Linked DNA regions of Mytilus edulis. The protein of the gene in region 1 interacts with the protein of each later gene in a biochemical or structural test. Links are inferred from orthologs where the notes say so. Each region holds a gene or a part of one and is shown in the gene's direction. Other genes may lie near its edges.

Evidence for each region.
Region 2: the proteins of eukaryotic translation initiation factor 2 subunit 2-like (region 1) and eukaryotic translation initiation factor 2 subunit 1-like form a complex in vitro, tested with the Homo sapiens proteins (2 studies listed by BioGRID and IntAct). The link is inferred for Mytilus edulis from reciprocal best matches to the Homo sapiens genes EIF2S2 and EIF2S1.

Annotation. Positions count from the first base shown.
Region 1 is NC_092348.1:20,411,343-20,419,463, reverse strand, and holds the start of eukaryotic translation initiation factor 2 subunit 2-like, read left to right. Parts: upstream 1-4,527; 5' UTR 4,528-4,675; coding exon 4,676-4,696; intron 4,697-5,236; coding exon 5,237-5,420; intron 5,421-6,203; coding exon 6,204-6,292; intron 6,293-8,121.
Region 2 is NC_092344.1:105,392,535-105,401,121, reverse strand, and holds the start of eukaryotic translation initiation factor 2 subunit 1-like, read left to right. Parts: upstream 1-4,819; 5' UTR 4,820-4,899; intron 4,900-6,227; 5' UTR 6,228-6,236; coding exon 6,237-6,474; intron 6,475-8,587. UniProt on the Homo sapiens protein: Member of the eIF2 complex that functions in the early steps of protein synthesis by forming a ternary complex with GTP and initiator tRNA. This complex binds to a 40S ribosomal subunit, followed by mRNA binding to form a 43S pre-initiation complex (43S PIC).

The DNA of each region.
Region 1 (8,121 bases):
ATCTACAATTACATAATGTATATAAAAGTAAAAATATTGAAATGATCAGTGGAGTAATAACAACGAACTCAAAGAAAATCACATTGGCATCATACTATAGACCTCCAAATAGAACAGACAACGAGTACCTAGAATATACACAAGATGAATTCAACCGCCTTAAAAATAGCACCAAAAAGAACATCCTTATTATTGGTGGTGACTTTAACATTCCAGACATCAATTGGGAACAGTTAGCCATAAATGGTAAGCAATATCCATCCAAAGTGAACCAAACCTTCTTGGACATAGTAGCAGACATTAATCTTGAACAAATAGTAGACTTCCCTACAAGAAAAGAAAAAACTCTAGATTTAATTTTGACTAGCCATCCAAGTTTTAAGCAGAGATGTAAACCAATTCCAGCTATTGGTAACAGCGACCACGACATTGTCCTTCTTGATACCTCAATTAAAACACAAAAACCTAAACCGGTTAAACGTAAAATACAACTATGGAAAAGAACCAACATAGATGAAATACAAAATGAGGTGAGGTTATTTGCTGAAACCTTTAACCAGACGACCTTCACTAATATTGAAAACATGTGGAAATATTTCAAAGAAAACATCATGAAAATTATTGATCAGAAAGTACCAACAAAGATGACAACTACAAAATTTACCCATCCTTGGATCAATACCACCATCAAGCGCCTAATAAGAAGGAAAAACAAGGCCCACAAGAAATCAAGGAAAACAAAGAAAAGGAGAGACAGAGATAGATATAAATACCTCCAACAACAAACACAAATGGAAATAAGAAAAGCATACAAAGAATATATGAATGACATCATTAGTCTCAGTTACACTGAGAAACCGAAAAGATTTTGGTCATTCTTGAAGAGCAAAGGACAGGACTCGGTTGGAGTTGCACCACTCAAAAACAAGGAAGGATTCCTTAAAAGCGACAGCCAGAGTAAAGCCAATATCTTAAATGAACAGTTTTGCTCGGTTTTCACAAAAGAAGATGGCAGCACTATTCCCGATAAAGGTCCTAGTAACATCAATACAATGAATGACATCACAGTAACTGAAAATGGGGTATTCAAACTGTTAAAAAACCTTAACACCAACAAAGCAGCAGGACCAGATGAAATACCAACCAAAATACTGCAAATAACTGCTGCAGAATTATCACCAATTCTGACAAGAATCTTTCAGTTTTCACTTGATACAGGAGAAGTTCCACAAGATTGGAGAGATGCCAACATAGTGCCACTATACAAGAAAGGGGATACTCACCTAGCGGCCAACTATCGTCCAGTCTCCCTTACCTCCATCACTTGTAAGCTGTTAGAGCATATAGTTCACAGCAGCATAATGAAACATTTTGATCAACAAAATATACTCTGTGACAACCAACATGGTTTCAGGAAACGCAGATCATGTGAAAGTCAGCTCATCATCACCATCGATCGTATAGCCAAATACCTTTCAAATGGAACCCAGATTGACATCATACTCCTGGATTTTGAAAAGGCATTTGACAAGGTTCCTCATTCAAGACTGCTGTACAAACTCCAATTTTATGGAGTAAGGGGCCGGACAAACTCCTGGATCAGTTCATTCCTATCAAACAGGAAACAACAGGTAGTATTGGAAGGTGCTAGATCTCAACAAGACGATGTTCTGTCAGGTGTGCCACAAGGCACAGTACTAGGTCCTTTATTGTTCCTAACATACATCAATGACATGCCCGGATATACTCAATCAGATGTCCGCCTCTTTGCTGATGACAGTCTACTATACAGGGAAATTAGTAACACCAAAGATACAGAACAACTTCAGAAAGACCTTGAAGCATTAGAAAATTGGGAAAAAACATGGATGATGAGATTCAATCCAACAAAATGCAATATTATCCGCATACCACCAAAGAACAAAGAACCTATACAATACCCATACACTCTACATGGACACATACTCGAACCAGTAGATAGTGCCAAGTACTTGGGAGTTTCAATATCAAACAACCTCTCATGGAACAAACATATCCAGAGTGTTACAGCAAAGGGTAACCGAACACTTGGGTTTGTCAAACGAAACCTTAAAGAATGTACCAGGAAAGTAAAGGCTGCTGGCTATACAACACTCGTGCGACCTGTCATAGAGTATGCTTCTACTATATGGGACCCAACCAACCAAGCAAGCATCAACACACTAGAACTTATACAGAGGAGAGCTGCTAGATTTGTCTATAATGACTACACATCACGCACACCAGGGTGCGTCACTACAATGTTAGAAGATCTTAAATGGGACACATTACAGACAAGACGCCGTGACAACAGGCTATGCATGCTCTATCGTATCCAGAATGAGCTGATAGACATCAACAAGAGTACTTACCTCAAAGGTGGCGACAGTAGAACTCGTGGAGGACACAAGTTTTACCAACAGAGGGTCACCAGTGATGTCTACAGGAACTCCTTCTTTCCAAGAACAATCATGGAATGGAATACATTACCTGCCAGGGTTGCTGAAGCGGGATCAGTTGAAGATTTTCGCTCAGGGCTACAGACAACACATTAATACCAGACTGGACGATTGTACTGACATAATTTTAACCGTAACAACCTGATTTTATTGTAAATACTGTATATAGCCTTAGGGGACTAGATATGTGATGTCACCATGCGTAGTCCCGCAGAGTTTAAACGTTTCATTAAAGGAACCCAACTCTTATATGGAAGAAGAAGAAGAAGAATATATTGTATATTTTTGTCTGTTATTTGATGGTCTTTGATATTTATTCTGTCATTTAATGGATTTTTTTTTTATTATAATCTTTATGACCTTCGGGACCCAAAATTTGTTAATAAAATTGATCTTATCTTAACAAAAAGGTGACATTGATTTATGATCATTACCCGGGGATCATTTTTGATACCGACAAAGCACTTGTTACGACACTGGGCCTCTTGGTTTTTTTTCTGGATTATCTCCCTTACGAAGTTTTCAGTGTCCTTGACCTCTAGTATTATCAGACTGATGCAATAATTTGAACGATGAAAAACTGAAAAATCAAGGAAACTCGAGCTGCTATTTCATTTATCTGTGATAAAATCATCAACTTTATTGTTGATCTTTAATTTCAAGAATGGAGGACGACGAGCTGGTAAGAGGATTGAAAAATAAATGATAAAATGACTTTTTTTGAGCCGGGAATATGAGAAAAATATGGCGACTTCCATCCTCGATCACACGTGTAGTAAATTATTCGAAATCAGCATATTAGTTATGATAAAGTCACACGTTTGCATATATTTTTTTCTTCAATTCATGGTTGTTAATGCAAATCATTAAATATTGCTGAAGATTGGCTAGCATAAAAACAGAATCTCACGAAATTATCTCGTATCTGGGTTGGTTCGGTGCTGTTGACGTATCGTGTTCTCACCTGAACCACAATCACCTTTATTGTTATTATGTTTTACCATGGTGATGTTTCCAATGAACCCAATACTGTCCACAGTTCTCCTTTTGACATAATTTAATTCAGTTATGGTTAAGACAGTAGTGTCTTCTAGACAAAAATTTGTATCACTCAATATTGTTACCATTCAAACAAAGAGACTACCTACAGGCTACAGCACTTTCAGTTTCATACATATATCTAAACTTAGTATAAAGTTGGCACAGACTTGTATTTGTATTTCCCACTGCTGTTAACATGGTAAATAGCATGTCACAGAATAGATGGGTATGACCATATGTCGCAGATTCCTTTCGGCTATTGTGTGATAGTTGCGCTTGCTGGGGAATTCTGATTTAAGCTTCAAGTTGTAGTGACACACACTACCATGTCTTCCAGATGGTTCCAATCAATAGCGACTGTGCACAAAAATAGTTTTTGAACATGTCCGATTTACTATTTTGAACTACAAAAATGTATGACCATTCGTTTGTTGTTACAGACTTGTTGGTCTACAATGTACTTAGTGATAAAGTTATTCAAAGGTTGTTGCTCTGATTTGTCGTTTTGGTCTGTGGAATTTAATAAGGTTGTGCGGAGGGAGCACTTGTATCTTCCATTAAACCACTTCGAAAAACAAAATCAATTGTTTTATATAAACTCTTCATAACTACTTTAACATGGTGAATGTACAAAATGCAAATTAAATAAGCAAGAAGAACTCATCAATGCCTGATAGAATGGAAATATACAGTCTGTTGATAACATCAATGTTAGTGCTGTGATGTCAAGATTGGGTTTAGTTAAGTGACTAGTGACATTGGTCTAGATCATAAGATTTTTATTTTTAGTGAGGTACTTTGTATTTTAACCCTTCTTGAATCATCTTATAAAAGTATATATATTCATAAAACTTTTTGTAATAAACAACCTACCTAATTAGTATTACTTTTCAGAAAAAAATAATGAGATAATATTCCCTGTATTATTATCTGCTAGGCTATAAATATACATTATACAAATCGATATTGCATCAGACGTGTTTTAGTATAAAATAAAGACTGCAATATAAATTGAAACATTTATCTTTAAAATAGCAAAGGAAAAATATAATACATATAGCTCTAAGCCTCTTCTATACAGGAATATTTTGATGCAATTGGATCAGTAAAAAAGGATAAAAAAATCATTATTATTCTAGATGTTCAGAAATTAAATTATGGTTTATGAAAGAGAAAAGGTAAGTTCCTAAAATGTGTTAATTTTGAAAAAAAATCAGTTTATCAAAGTGTCAATACAAATTTTGTAAAGGCAAAATATGGCATCAAAACTAAAAAATATATACAAATGTATGGGAAAATCCTCAACATAGGTTTTGATTTCTTTATAGTTTCGAAATAAGGTTATTTAATGGTATTTTTGTGATGAAATACCATACTTTATAAAATGAGACAGGAATTAGATGATGCAACATCTGATCAATAACTTTTTCATGTAAACTAAGTTTACATTCCTGTTCTGTTTGATTCATTGATAACTTAAAAAAAATTTGTGGAAGATTTTTAAATTTCAAGTCATTTGAATATTTTAGGTAAATGAGTAGGATTTGGTCTAATCTGAAGGAAAAAAATGTTCATTATTTAAACAAATAGGTTGACATGTCTACATGTATGTATCTGGATTGTCAGCCAATATTGTCATACATTTGTACATTTCTTTCGTACATATGAGTGTAATAATTGTCTTTGTTTATATAAATTAATATAATTTACCTTTACAGACCCCCTTTGATCCTAATATGATGAAAAAGAAAAAGAAGAAGAAGAAGGTACCATTTGATTTAGATGCAGCTATGGGTGATCCAGAAGGAGCAACAGATGGGGCACCAACCCCAGAAACAACTGAAATCCAAGAGGAACCAAAGGAAAACAAATCTGAAAATCAAAGGGAGAAAGTAGACGATGGTAATACATAATGGGAAATAATTTGGAAATACATGTATATGTGAAGTGTACATGGTGTACAATGTATGTGAATAGAAACGATGAGTTCATAACTTGACTACATGGGTGATCTGAGGTGCTCAAGAAGGGTATGAAGATCCTGCATGAGCCAATAAATATCATTGATATTCGACATGCTTATATGATCAGATGAATAAAACAGGACATATAAGTGAAGACTTACAGATGAACACTCAAAGCTACATTGATATTGATATTTTATCTGAACAATAATTAGGTTTTTCACTACTCTGCAGAAATTAAATCCTAGAGTATGACTTCTTTCTCAAAAACTATGAGTCTTAGGACATCTTTCGCAGAGAATCGTGAGGAGTGAAAGTTTAATGAGATGACTCATGATCATTGTATTCATTTGCACAAGGACAATTTCTATCCAAAACAGCTCATTTGTTAATCTATAATTTGACTTTCCAATAATGAATTCAAATTTTTCAACTTAGTTATAATAGCCACACTATAAACAAATAAGCACAATGTTGCCTGTGTATGTCCCTGGTACACAATGACATCACCTTGTACATGTATGTATATGAATTCTCTAAAATGCTTCACGCTGGCACATTTGTAACTTTTTTTTTAATACATTGAAAAGAAAGTGTTTATTTGACAGATTATATTATGGTTTCACACAGATTATATTATGGTTTCACACAGATTATATTATGGTTTCACACAGATTCAGCAATTTGATGTAGAAGAATGAATTTGTTTGAATATTTTCAGATATGTCATTAGAATTTAGCCTTGGGATGAAAAAGAAGAAAAAGAAAAAGAAAGCATTTGAACTGGATGACATTGGAGATGCTCTGCCTGTAAGTAAAAGTATAAAGTTTAGATCTGGTTTCCATGTTAAATTAGGGGCCTCAGCGGCCAAGTGGTCTAAGTAGTTCTTACTACTGTAATCACTAGCCAGTCAACACTGAGGTTGTAAATTCATACCCTGCTCCTGGGGGTGCACACAACTTCAATCTTAATTGACTAGTATTGTCAGTTTTTCTATTTAAAGTCTGAGGTTTTCTCTAGGCACTCTGTTGTATGAACTAGAACACGTGTGCGCATGTGTACAGGTGGGAAATTTAATTATGCATCCTACATTTCTACAAAAATGCTTCAATAATCATTGATATCTGTATCTAACGTTCATTTCAAGTATTTTGTTGAAGAAATGATGCGGAAAGAGCTTCTTCACTCAGTCGTGCTTTGTAAACGTACACAGATTTTACGTATCTGTTTCTAGTCCATGTTTTACCAGTCAGGTCAACATCCGGTATAAGGAAAATGTGATTTTTAAAACTAAAGTAAAATGTTTTGACAAATAAAGAGTATGGATATCTATAAAAAGGTTTAATACCACTACAGGAAAGTTGGGATTGATTTTGGGGGTTATGGTCCCAATAGTTAAGGAAGAAGGGGCCAAAAAGGGGGCCCAAAATAAGCATTTTTGTAGTTTTAAAACAATAACTTGTGTTTAAGTGTATGAATCTCTCTGAAATAATTCCACAGGTTTCCATACCATGAAAGGATGGTAATTAATGACTTTGGGGGCTTATGACTCTAAATGTTTTGGAATTAGGGGCTAAAAAAGGCGAAATTAGGGGCCCAAAAAATGGGATAAACTAGATTTTCCAGACCAACTTTAGATTTACTGAATGGATCTCTATTAATTTCTACCAGAAGGTTCAATACCACTAATTAAAGGAAGGTTTGGATTGATTTTGGGGGTTATGGTCCTTATTGTTTAGGATTTAGGGGCCAAAAAGGGGGTCCAAAATAAGCATTTTTGTAGTTTTCAAACAATAACTTGTGTTTAAGTGGATGAATCTCTCTGAAATTTTACCACAAGTTTCCATACAATTGATGGTTAGTAATGACTTTGGGGGGTTCTTAAAATGTTTTGGAATTGGGGGCCAAAAAAGGGGGAAACTAGGTTTTTCTGGTCAATGAACAATTAAGACAATTCAAAAGCAGTGTAATGGAGGTAAATCATAAACAGATAACATACAATTTTTGGTTTGTGCAGATTTACCTCCCTTACACTACTTGTAAACAATGTATAAAGAAATGTCAGGTTTTGGACCTATTTAAAAAAAAAGGGGATGGTAGTAGTTTTCAATTTTTTTTCTCAAATTCCAAATTTTTTATACGACCGCAAATTTTGAAAAAATTTTCGTCGTATATTGCTAATACGTTGGCGTCGTCGTCGTCGTCCGGCGTCCGAATACTTTTAGTTTTCGCACTCTAACTTTAGTAAAAGTGAATGGAAATCTATGAAATTTTAACACAAGGTTTATGACCACAAAAGGAAGGTTGGTATTGATTTTGGGAGTTTTGGTCCCAACATTTTAGGAATTAGGGGCCAAAAAGGGCCCAAATAAGCATTTTCTTGGTTTTCGCACTATAACTTTAGTTTAAGTTAATAGAAATCTATGAAATTTTGACACAAGGTTTATGACCACAAAAGGAAGGTTGGTATTGATTTTGGGAGTTTTGGTCTCAACAGTTTAGGAATTAGGGGCCAAAAAAGGGCCCAAATAAGCATTATTCTTGGTTTTCGCACAATAACATTAGTTTAAGTAAATAGAAATCAATGAAATTTAAACACAATGTTAATGACTACAAAAGGAAGGTTGGTATTGATTTT
Region 2 (8,587 bases), on another chromosome or scaffold:
AAAAAATGAAAATATATCGGTAGAAAAAAAGGATACAAATACAGCATATATGTAGGACTCTAAAGTGCGATGGGGACGCTAAAATGCGATGGTCACGCTAAAGTGCGATGGCCTACGCTAAAGTACGATGGTTTGATACGCTAAAGTGCGTTTTTTTGCAACTGCATCGTCGTTATAAACGTTCCACAGCATTATGACGAGAATGTTTGTCCAGATTAAAGATTTTTATTACAAGAGAAGAGAAAAACAAATGATCACAATCTGGAATTTTTTGTCGTTGCTGGAATAGGTTAACTTAATTTGTGAAATTGTAGAAATAACTTTAATCTAACATTTACTTTCTAATTGAATTATTCAATCCAAAAAAAAAATACTATACGGTTTGTTATTTCTGTTATATAATAAATACTAGCATATGTCAATTAGACAGCAACCTAACAAACAGATGTGTAGTATCATCATACTATATGATTGCCAATACGACAACTATCTATCTTCGACCTATTAATGTTATTGAAATATGCAACTTTAAGTATGACCTTAAACACGGGGCATTGTCTTATAACATATTATTTTATTAAAAAACGACTTCCACTAAATTCCGGATGTACTAACTATATTACAGTGTAACCATTACACCTTTTGAACAACTATCGTACTTTAGATAAACATAAGAAGATGTAGTATAAACTATCCATCCAATCCCAAATGCCGATCATGTGCCATGGCGGTCGAGTTACATCAAACTTTCTGGTCAGGCCGGGTATTATGAAATCACAGAAAATTCAAGAACAAAATAATCCAATAATCTGTAGTATTGTTGTCAAGAAATACACAAGTAAATTCACTAATCTATTTATTAAAATTCCATTCCGGACACTATTTACATAACATACAGTTTACAAAAATGTATAATTGAAATATTCATTAGCAAATTACTTTCACACGGTATAAAATCGGCAACAGTGTCTGATACTGTACACACACAAAAACCCACGCATAGCGTCCAATCCTATGCGGACAAAACCACGCTTCAGTGTCCAATACTGAGCGGAACCACGCAACAGTATCCAATACTGTGCGGACAAAACCACGCATCAGCGTCCAATACTGAGCGGAACCACGCAACAGTCTCCAATACTGTGCGGACAAAACCACGCATCAGCGTCCAATACTGAGCGGAACCACGCAACAGTCTCCAATACTGTGCGGACATAAAGAATATAAGAAATAATAATAATTCCAAAGCTATCAGTAATCTGCTAAGATATATCTAAAAATGTTATGCGCCTAGAATAACAAAAATCCTTTTTAAATAACTTTTCACATTGTATTGTTCTTAAATGTCTTGCCTTTAATCCTCTCTAAACACTAAAAACAGAGGGCTCTTATATACCTATGATCTCCAAATATTCTCCAAATATTCTCCAACTGACCTAAATATTCTCCAACTGACCTAAATATTCTCCAAATATTCTCCAACTGACCCAAATAATCTCCAAATATTCTCCAACTCTTTGTTTACAAAAATAAAACATATAAATCATATAAAAGTATTTACAATGTGACCTTAGAGAACATGCTATGTTAATCTCTTATAGCAGGATAGTCATTTGACTTAATGACTTTAACAGATGATAACCAAAACATTAATATGACAAAAATAATTACAGTGGACATAAAATAACACTTGTACACATGTATGCGGCTAATAATCCTACGGCCGTCAACGTAATGCATTGGTCCATGCCGTTACAAGCTATATAGGGTTATACAATGACCAGTGTAAAACAATTCAAAAGATAAAGACTTCGGCTTGACACATAATCAAAACAATAAACGAAAATGTAATAGAAACTCAGCAACAAACGAAAACCATTGCCTGAACCCCATTCCCGTTACACCATCGCACTTAAGCGTGTCATACCATCGCACTTTAGCGTGATTTCTGATCGTACTTAAAAAACAAACAACCATCACACTTTAGCGTCTGACACCATCGCACTTTAGCGTAGACCATCGTACTTTAGCGTAACCATCGCACTTTAGAGTACCATCGCACTTTAGAGTCCTACATATATAAATGTACTTATGAAATCAAAATAATAGACCAACCAACCTATTTAATCCATTCTATTGTTTTGTAGAGTCGAAGTTTTTTATTGTTTTACTTTGACTTTTGGTCCGGGGTGTTCGGTGGTACACTGACAACGCCATGGCTCGAAAGGAAAAGACAACCCAAACAGACAAACAATAGTACACAAAACACAACATAGAAAAAAAAGACTTAGCATCATGAACCCGACCAAAAACTATGGGTGTTCTCAGGTGCTCTTGAAGGGTACACAGATCCTGCTCCACATGTCGGCATCCGTAGTGTTGCTCATGCTATTATAAACCCCATAAATTGTCTAATTCGGCAGGTCACATTCGTGAAAAGGGAACGGGATTGTAGTAACGACATTAAGAACATATCCAATGTCGTCTATGAAACGGATATTCCATGTAGGTCAACCAACTCATGATTTAGAAGTTTTAGTTTAATAGCTTCCTTGTGAACAGCCAAGGAAATCATGATAAAAATACTAGCCCGTCACGGAATATCGTATCAAATGGGAGATACAAAATGTATATATATACTCCGTATACAGGCGCTGCTGGAATGTTGCTACATTTAAATGGAAAGTTTACAATTGGGAAGCTGAAATAATCTCTTTTATCGGAAAGTTTTGTTTTTAACCGACCCTTATTGTCAATTTCCAGATGTAAGTCAAGATCTCATGCAGACTTAACTGTATATGTTGTATCCTTTATCTCTAGTTCGATGGGATAGCACGATGCGTTCAACCAGAGACATATATACACATGTATATAAGTCTCTGGTTCAACATAGTCACCAAATTTTGTATTATTTAGTGAGAGAACATCATCGATAAAGCGGGAAGTAAAGTTATAGGATATTGCTAAATTCTTTTGTTTCTTCTAAGGAAATTCCTGTGTGAAGTCGGCTTCATAAAATGAAGGAACAAGTCGACAAGTTGGTTCCCATGAGAATGTATGTTTACAAAATTTACTCCAAATTAAACACACTAAATATTCTTTTAGATACAGTAATATTTTGGAAATACCACAGGTAAGAACTACCTCATATGGAAAAAAATCTTTTAGTTTTGCTGCTGCTTCTTTATGGAATAGCTTACCAGACCATTTCAGGACTGTTAACAGCTTCTCACATTTTAAGAGTTTTGTTCAGTCCTGGAGTGGAACAGAATGTTTTTGCTCTGCCTGTAGATAATTTGTGTTACAATATTTATGCTTTTTATGCTGCATTGCAACTGAAATTTTGTTTTTAAGATTTGAAATTTTGAAAGATTTTAAATTTTTACTTTATAAATCATAAATTTAAAAAAAAAATATTTTTAAACTGCAAATTTTTTAAAATTTTAGTGCTTCATATATATGTCAGGCTTGGTATTTTGCAAGATACATGTATATGCGATTTGCTTAGAGTTAATTTTTGGTGCTGCTTTTTATCATTTATTGCATGCTGCATGCCTTGTTTTATTTGTTATTGCATATGTCTTTATGGTATCCGGTCGTTCCGGCCCCAAGTCCATCCGGCCCAAAGTCGATCCGGCCCAAGTCGATCCGGCCCACGTTGATCCGGCCCCAAGTCGATCCGGCCCCATAATAAATATGAAATAACTATATTGATTTTGGAGGAATTTGTGACACATTTTAACAGTTTAAATGGAATTTTCAAAAAGTGTCCGATGATAGATGACAAAAGGTAAGTGAAGTATTGGAGTACCAGTTAAAGAACTATTTTAAATCGATACGAAAATGAGTGTTATTGTTGAATTGCAGGTTATTTATTTTTTGTTAGTTCATATACACAGAATATCTAAATAAATATTTACAGTCCACTGAAACCTATAAAATTTAACTCATCATAATGACTTGATTAATCAAATCATTAGTCTATAATTGGTTTGTTTATTCAACAATAGTCTGGCGATTGTGAACTATAAGGTAATGCCACTTGTAATCACTTAATTAAATCAAATTTTTGTCTGAATTGTTTTAATATAATTATACCCAATACTCTTAAAAACTTGTAATAAAATCATAATCAACCTAGTTTGTTCATGTTGTTTTGTACTCATCTGAAAATATTTTTTTTTTACCGTATACCTTTTACATTATAATAAAAATCATAAACATTTATGAATTACATTAATATATATCTTTATTTTCATTCCTTATAAAAATATTTTTTATTGGGGCCGGATCGACTTGACATATGGGCCGGATCGACGTGGGACGGATCGACTTGGGCCGGATCGACGTGGGGCCGGATCGACCCGAAAGCTGTTTTTATATTCGGTGAAAAGCTCATTAGAGTGTATGTTTGTATTGTTTGTCAATATGCCGAATCCAAATAAAAAAAATATACTTACTTACTTTTTTTTGTCGATAGTTTGTAGAACAGAATAATAGTTCGACCATTTTATTGTTTTATAGATTCAAAGTACCGTATCTTTATTGTTTTATTTGACTTTTGGGGTGTTCGATGGTATGCAATTATTGTTAAATGGTGATGAAACTGACCTATGATGCACACTTCACCATGATATTTCTTAAATTTATCTAGTAAAAAGAATTTTGTTTTTTAAAAAGCTATATGACTATAAAATGTCCATACAACTTTTATATAGTGTATCATGTGCTAAACTAATAGTATTTACTCATGCTTTTATTTTATTCAAACGAAACAAGAACCCACAAATCATACAAAATCATAAACTATCTAAAATTCGTTTTTCACAACATTCTTATAAACACATCTTGCATCAGACGGAACACATGTCAAAATTTCCCCAAGACCATAATATCAATGTAATTCACATTTAAATGCTTATTTGAAGCTATTTCAAATAGTAACCCTCTGTTGGCATACATTAATGATGAAATGCTATTCTTTCAAAGCATTATAATATAACGTTTCGTCTGTCAATTTAGCGCAATCTGGTCAAGGTGTAAATATTTGAATTATTTGAGAGTATGAATTTAAATTAGTGCGATGTGCAGAATAAACCAATCACACCAACCCAGTTACACACATTTATTCAAATAAAAAATAGACATTCAGATCATTAGACATGTATAAAGTGATTGAAGGGAATGTGGTCTATAAATCAAGGAGAAATTAAACCAAGATAAAAACTACATGTAAAAGAGACAAAGAGGGAGGTCAATCATGAATTTGTTCTTCATCTACATCTACGACATAGCTTCGAAAAGGGTACTTCGACCCATCTCTCAAGTATAGTTTAACTTTTTTTAACTATCATACAAAGAAGGAGAGGAGACATCAAAAATTTGCTACAAACATGTGCGTCTCAAAGTGGTTAATAAATCCTTAATGTGACATGTGACAAACATCATTTAACCATATCATTTTGACAAACAAAACAATCAACACCTTTATTAATTAGTCCTTTGTTGGCAATAGCTATAAAATGCAATCAGCGGATTTTTGATTTCTGTCAAAATCTTAATGAGTTCAGGGTGAGTTCCGAGTATTAACTGTCTGATCAGGTAAAGTCCCAGAAAAAAAGTAAATTAACAAGATGGACGAAAATAAATCGTTATATATTTTTCTTTCGCCAAATTCTTTAGTGTTTATTCATTGCAATGTAGACTCTAAGATAAGTTTAAAAGAATATTTATAGACCACAATGGGGCAAACTCATCTTATTTAGGGGGGGGAGTAGAAAAAAAGAAAAATTTTAAACGAAAAATATGTTTATGTTACTTAGCGAAAAAAAAATGAAGTGGCGAAAAATATATTGTTTTGGTGAAAGAGATGGCGAAAAAAATAATTGACTCAGGGGAAACCCTGCATTTTTGGCATGCTTGGTCGATTTGGGAAAGTAAATGAAATAAAAGATTTATTAACTAGATTTTTTTATTGTTTTTAGAAAAAAGTAAAAGAAAAAGACAGTGTGACCTTAGTCCTATATGAACAGACAGAAAAAGACGGGCACACAATTCTCCTGCATTCTAGATTGTATGATTAGAATATTTGAAATCATATTTCATCAATTTTTAAAGCTTTTTTGAATTTAAGATTGAGGTAAAACATACTTTGATCTATAATTAAAATAAAAAATTTAAATCATGGTAAAAGATATATACAATGTAACTATTTTCCTTCATTACAGATATAAAAAATGGTTCTTACGTGTAGATTTTATGGTAATAAGTACCCAGAGGTAGAGGATGTTGTTATGGTCAATGTCAGATCTATAGCAGAGATGGGAGCATATGTTCATCTCCTGGAATATAACAATATTGAAGGCATGATATTGTTGAGTGAATTGTCTCGTCGACGTATCCGTTCTATCAACAAATTAATTAGAGTGGGGAGGAGTGAATGTGTAGTTGTAATTAGAGTAGACAAAGACAAAGGTTTGTAAGACAATACATGTATCGAACAAGAGTGTTCATTTTAAAAAATAAAGTGATGTGGTATAATTGCCAATGAGACAACTACATGTATCCATCAGAGTCCATATGACCTAGAAGGTAAGCAATTAAATGTCCCCATGGTGATATTACCTAGAAATCTGAAATTTACTGAATTTATTAAAAAAAAATCAGAAATCCTTTAAACAAAATATTTTTCGATCATATTTCACTAGTTTTTAGCTCACCTGGCCCGAAGGGCCAAGTGAGCTTTTCCCATCACTTTGCGTCCGGCGTCCGTCGTCCGTCGTCCGTCGTCGTCCGTCGTCGTCCGTCGTCGTCGTCCGTCGTCGTTAACTTTTACAAAAATCTTCTCCTCTGAAACTACTGGGCCAAATTAAACCAAACTTGGCCACAATCATCATTGGGGTATCTAGTTTAAAAAATGTGTGGCGTGACCCGGCCAACCAACCAAGATGGCCGCCATGGCTAAAAATAGAACATAGGGGTAAAATGCAGTTTTTGGCTTATAACTCAAAAACCAAAGCATTTAGAGCAAATCTGACATGGGGTAAAATTGTTTATCAGGTCAAGATCTATCTGCCCTGAAATTTTCAGATGAATCGGACAACCCGTTGTTGGGTTGCTGCCCCTGAATTGATAATTTTAAGGAAATTTTGCTGTTTTTGGTTATTATCTTGAATATTATTATAGATAGAGATAAACTGTAAACAGCAATAATGTTCAGCAAAGTAAGATTTACAAATAAGTCAACGTGACCGAAATGGTCAGTTGACCCCTTTAGGAGTTATTGCCCTTTTTAGTCCATTTTTAACCATTTTTCGTAAATCTTAGTTATCTTATACAAAAATCTTCTCCTCTGAAACTACTGGGACAAATTAATCCAAACTTGGCCACAATCATCATTGGGGTATCTAGTTTAAAAAATGTGTGGAGTGACCGACCAACCAACCAAGATGGCCGCCATGGCTAAAAATAGAACATAGGGGTAAAATGCAGTTTTTGGCTTATAATTCAAAAACCAAAGCATTTAGAGCAAATCTGACAGGAATTAAATTGTTCATCAGGTCAAGATCTATCTGCCCTGAAATTTTCAGATGAATTGAACAACCCGTTGTTGGGTTGCTGCCCCTGAATTGATAATTTTAAGGAAATTTTGCTGTTTTTGGTTATTATCTTGAATATTATTATAGATAGAGATAAACTGTAAACAGCAATAATGTTCAGCAAAGTAAGATCTACAAATAAGTCAACATGACCAAAATGGTCAGTTGACCACTTTAGGAGTTATTGCCCTTTATAGTCAATTTTTAACCATTTTTCGTAAATCTTAGTAATCTTTTAGAAAAATCTTTTTCTCTGAAACTACTGGGCCAAATTTAACCAAACGTGGCCATAATTATCATTGGGGTATGTAGTTTAAAAAATGTGTCCGGTGACCCGGCCAACCAACACAGATGGCCGCCATGGCTAAAAATAGAACATAGGGGTAAAATGCAGTTTTTGGCTTATAACTCAAAAACCAAAGCATTTAGAGCAAATCTGACAGGAAGTAAAATTGTTGATCAGGTCACGATCTATCTGCCCTGGAATTTTCAGATGAATCGGATAATTGGTTGTTAGGTTGCTGCCCCTGAATTGGTAATTTTGAGGAAATTTTGCTGTTTTTTTTGTTATCTTGAATATTATTATAGATAGAGATAAACTGTAAACAGCAATAATGTACAGCAAAGTAAGAACTAAAAATAAGTCACTATGACCAAAATAGTCAACTGACCCCCTAAGGAGTAATTGCCCTTCATAGTCAATTTTTAACAATTTTCTTAAAATTTGAAGATTTTCAATAACATTTTCCACAGAAAGTACTGTTATAGATAGAGATAATTGTAAGCAGCAAGAATGTTAAGTAAAGTAAGATCTACAAACACATCACCATCACCAAAACACAATTTTGTCATGAATCCATCTGTGTCCATTGTTTAATATTCACATAGACCAAGGTGAGCGACACAGGCTCTTTAGAGCCTCTAGTTTTCCATACCACTATGTTACTAAACTACAAGTTGTGACTCCAACAAATGATACAAAGAACACA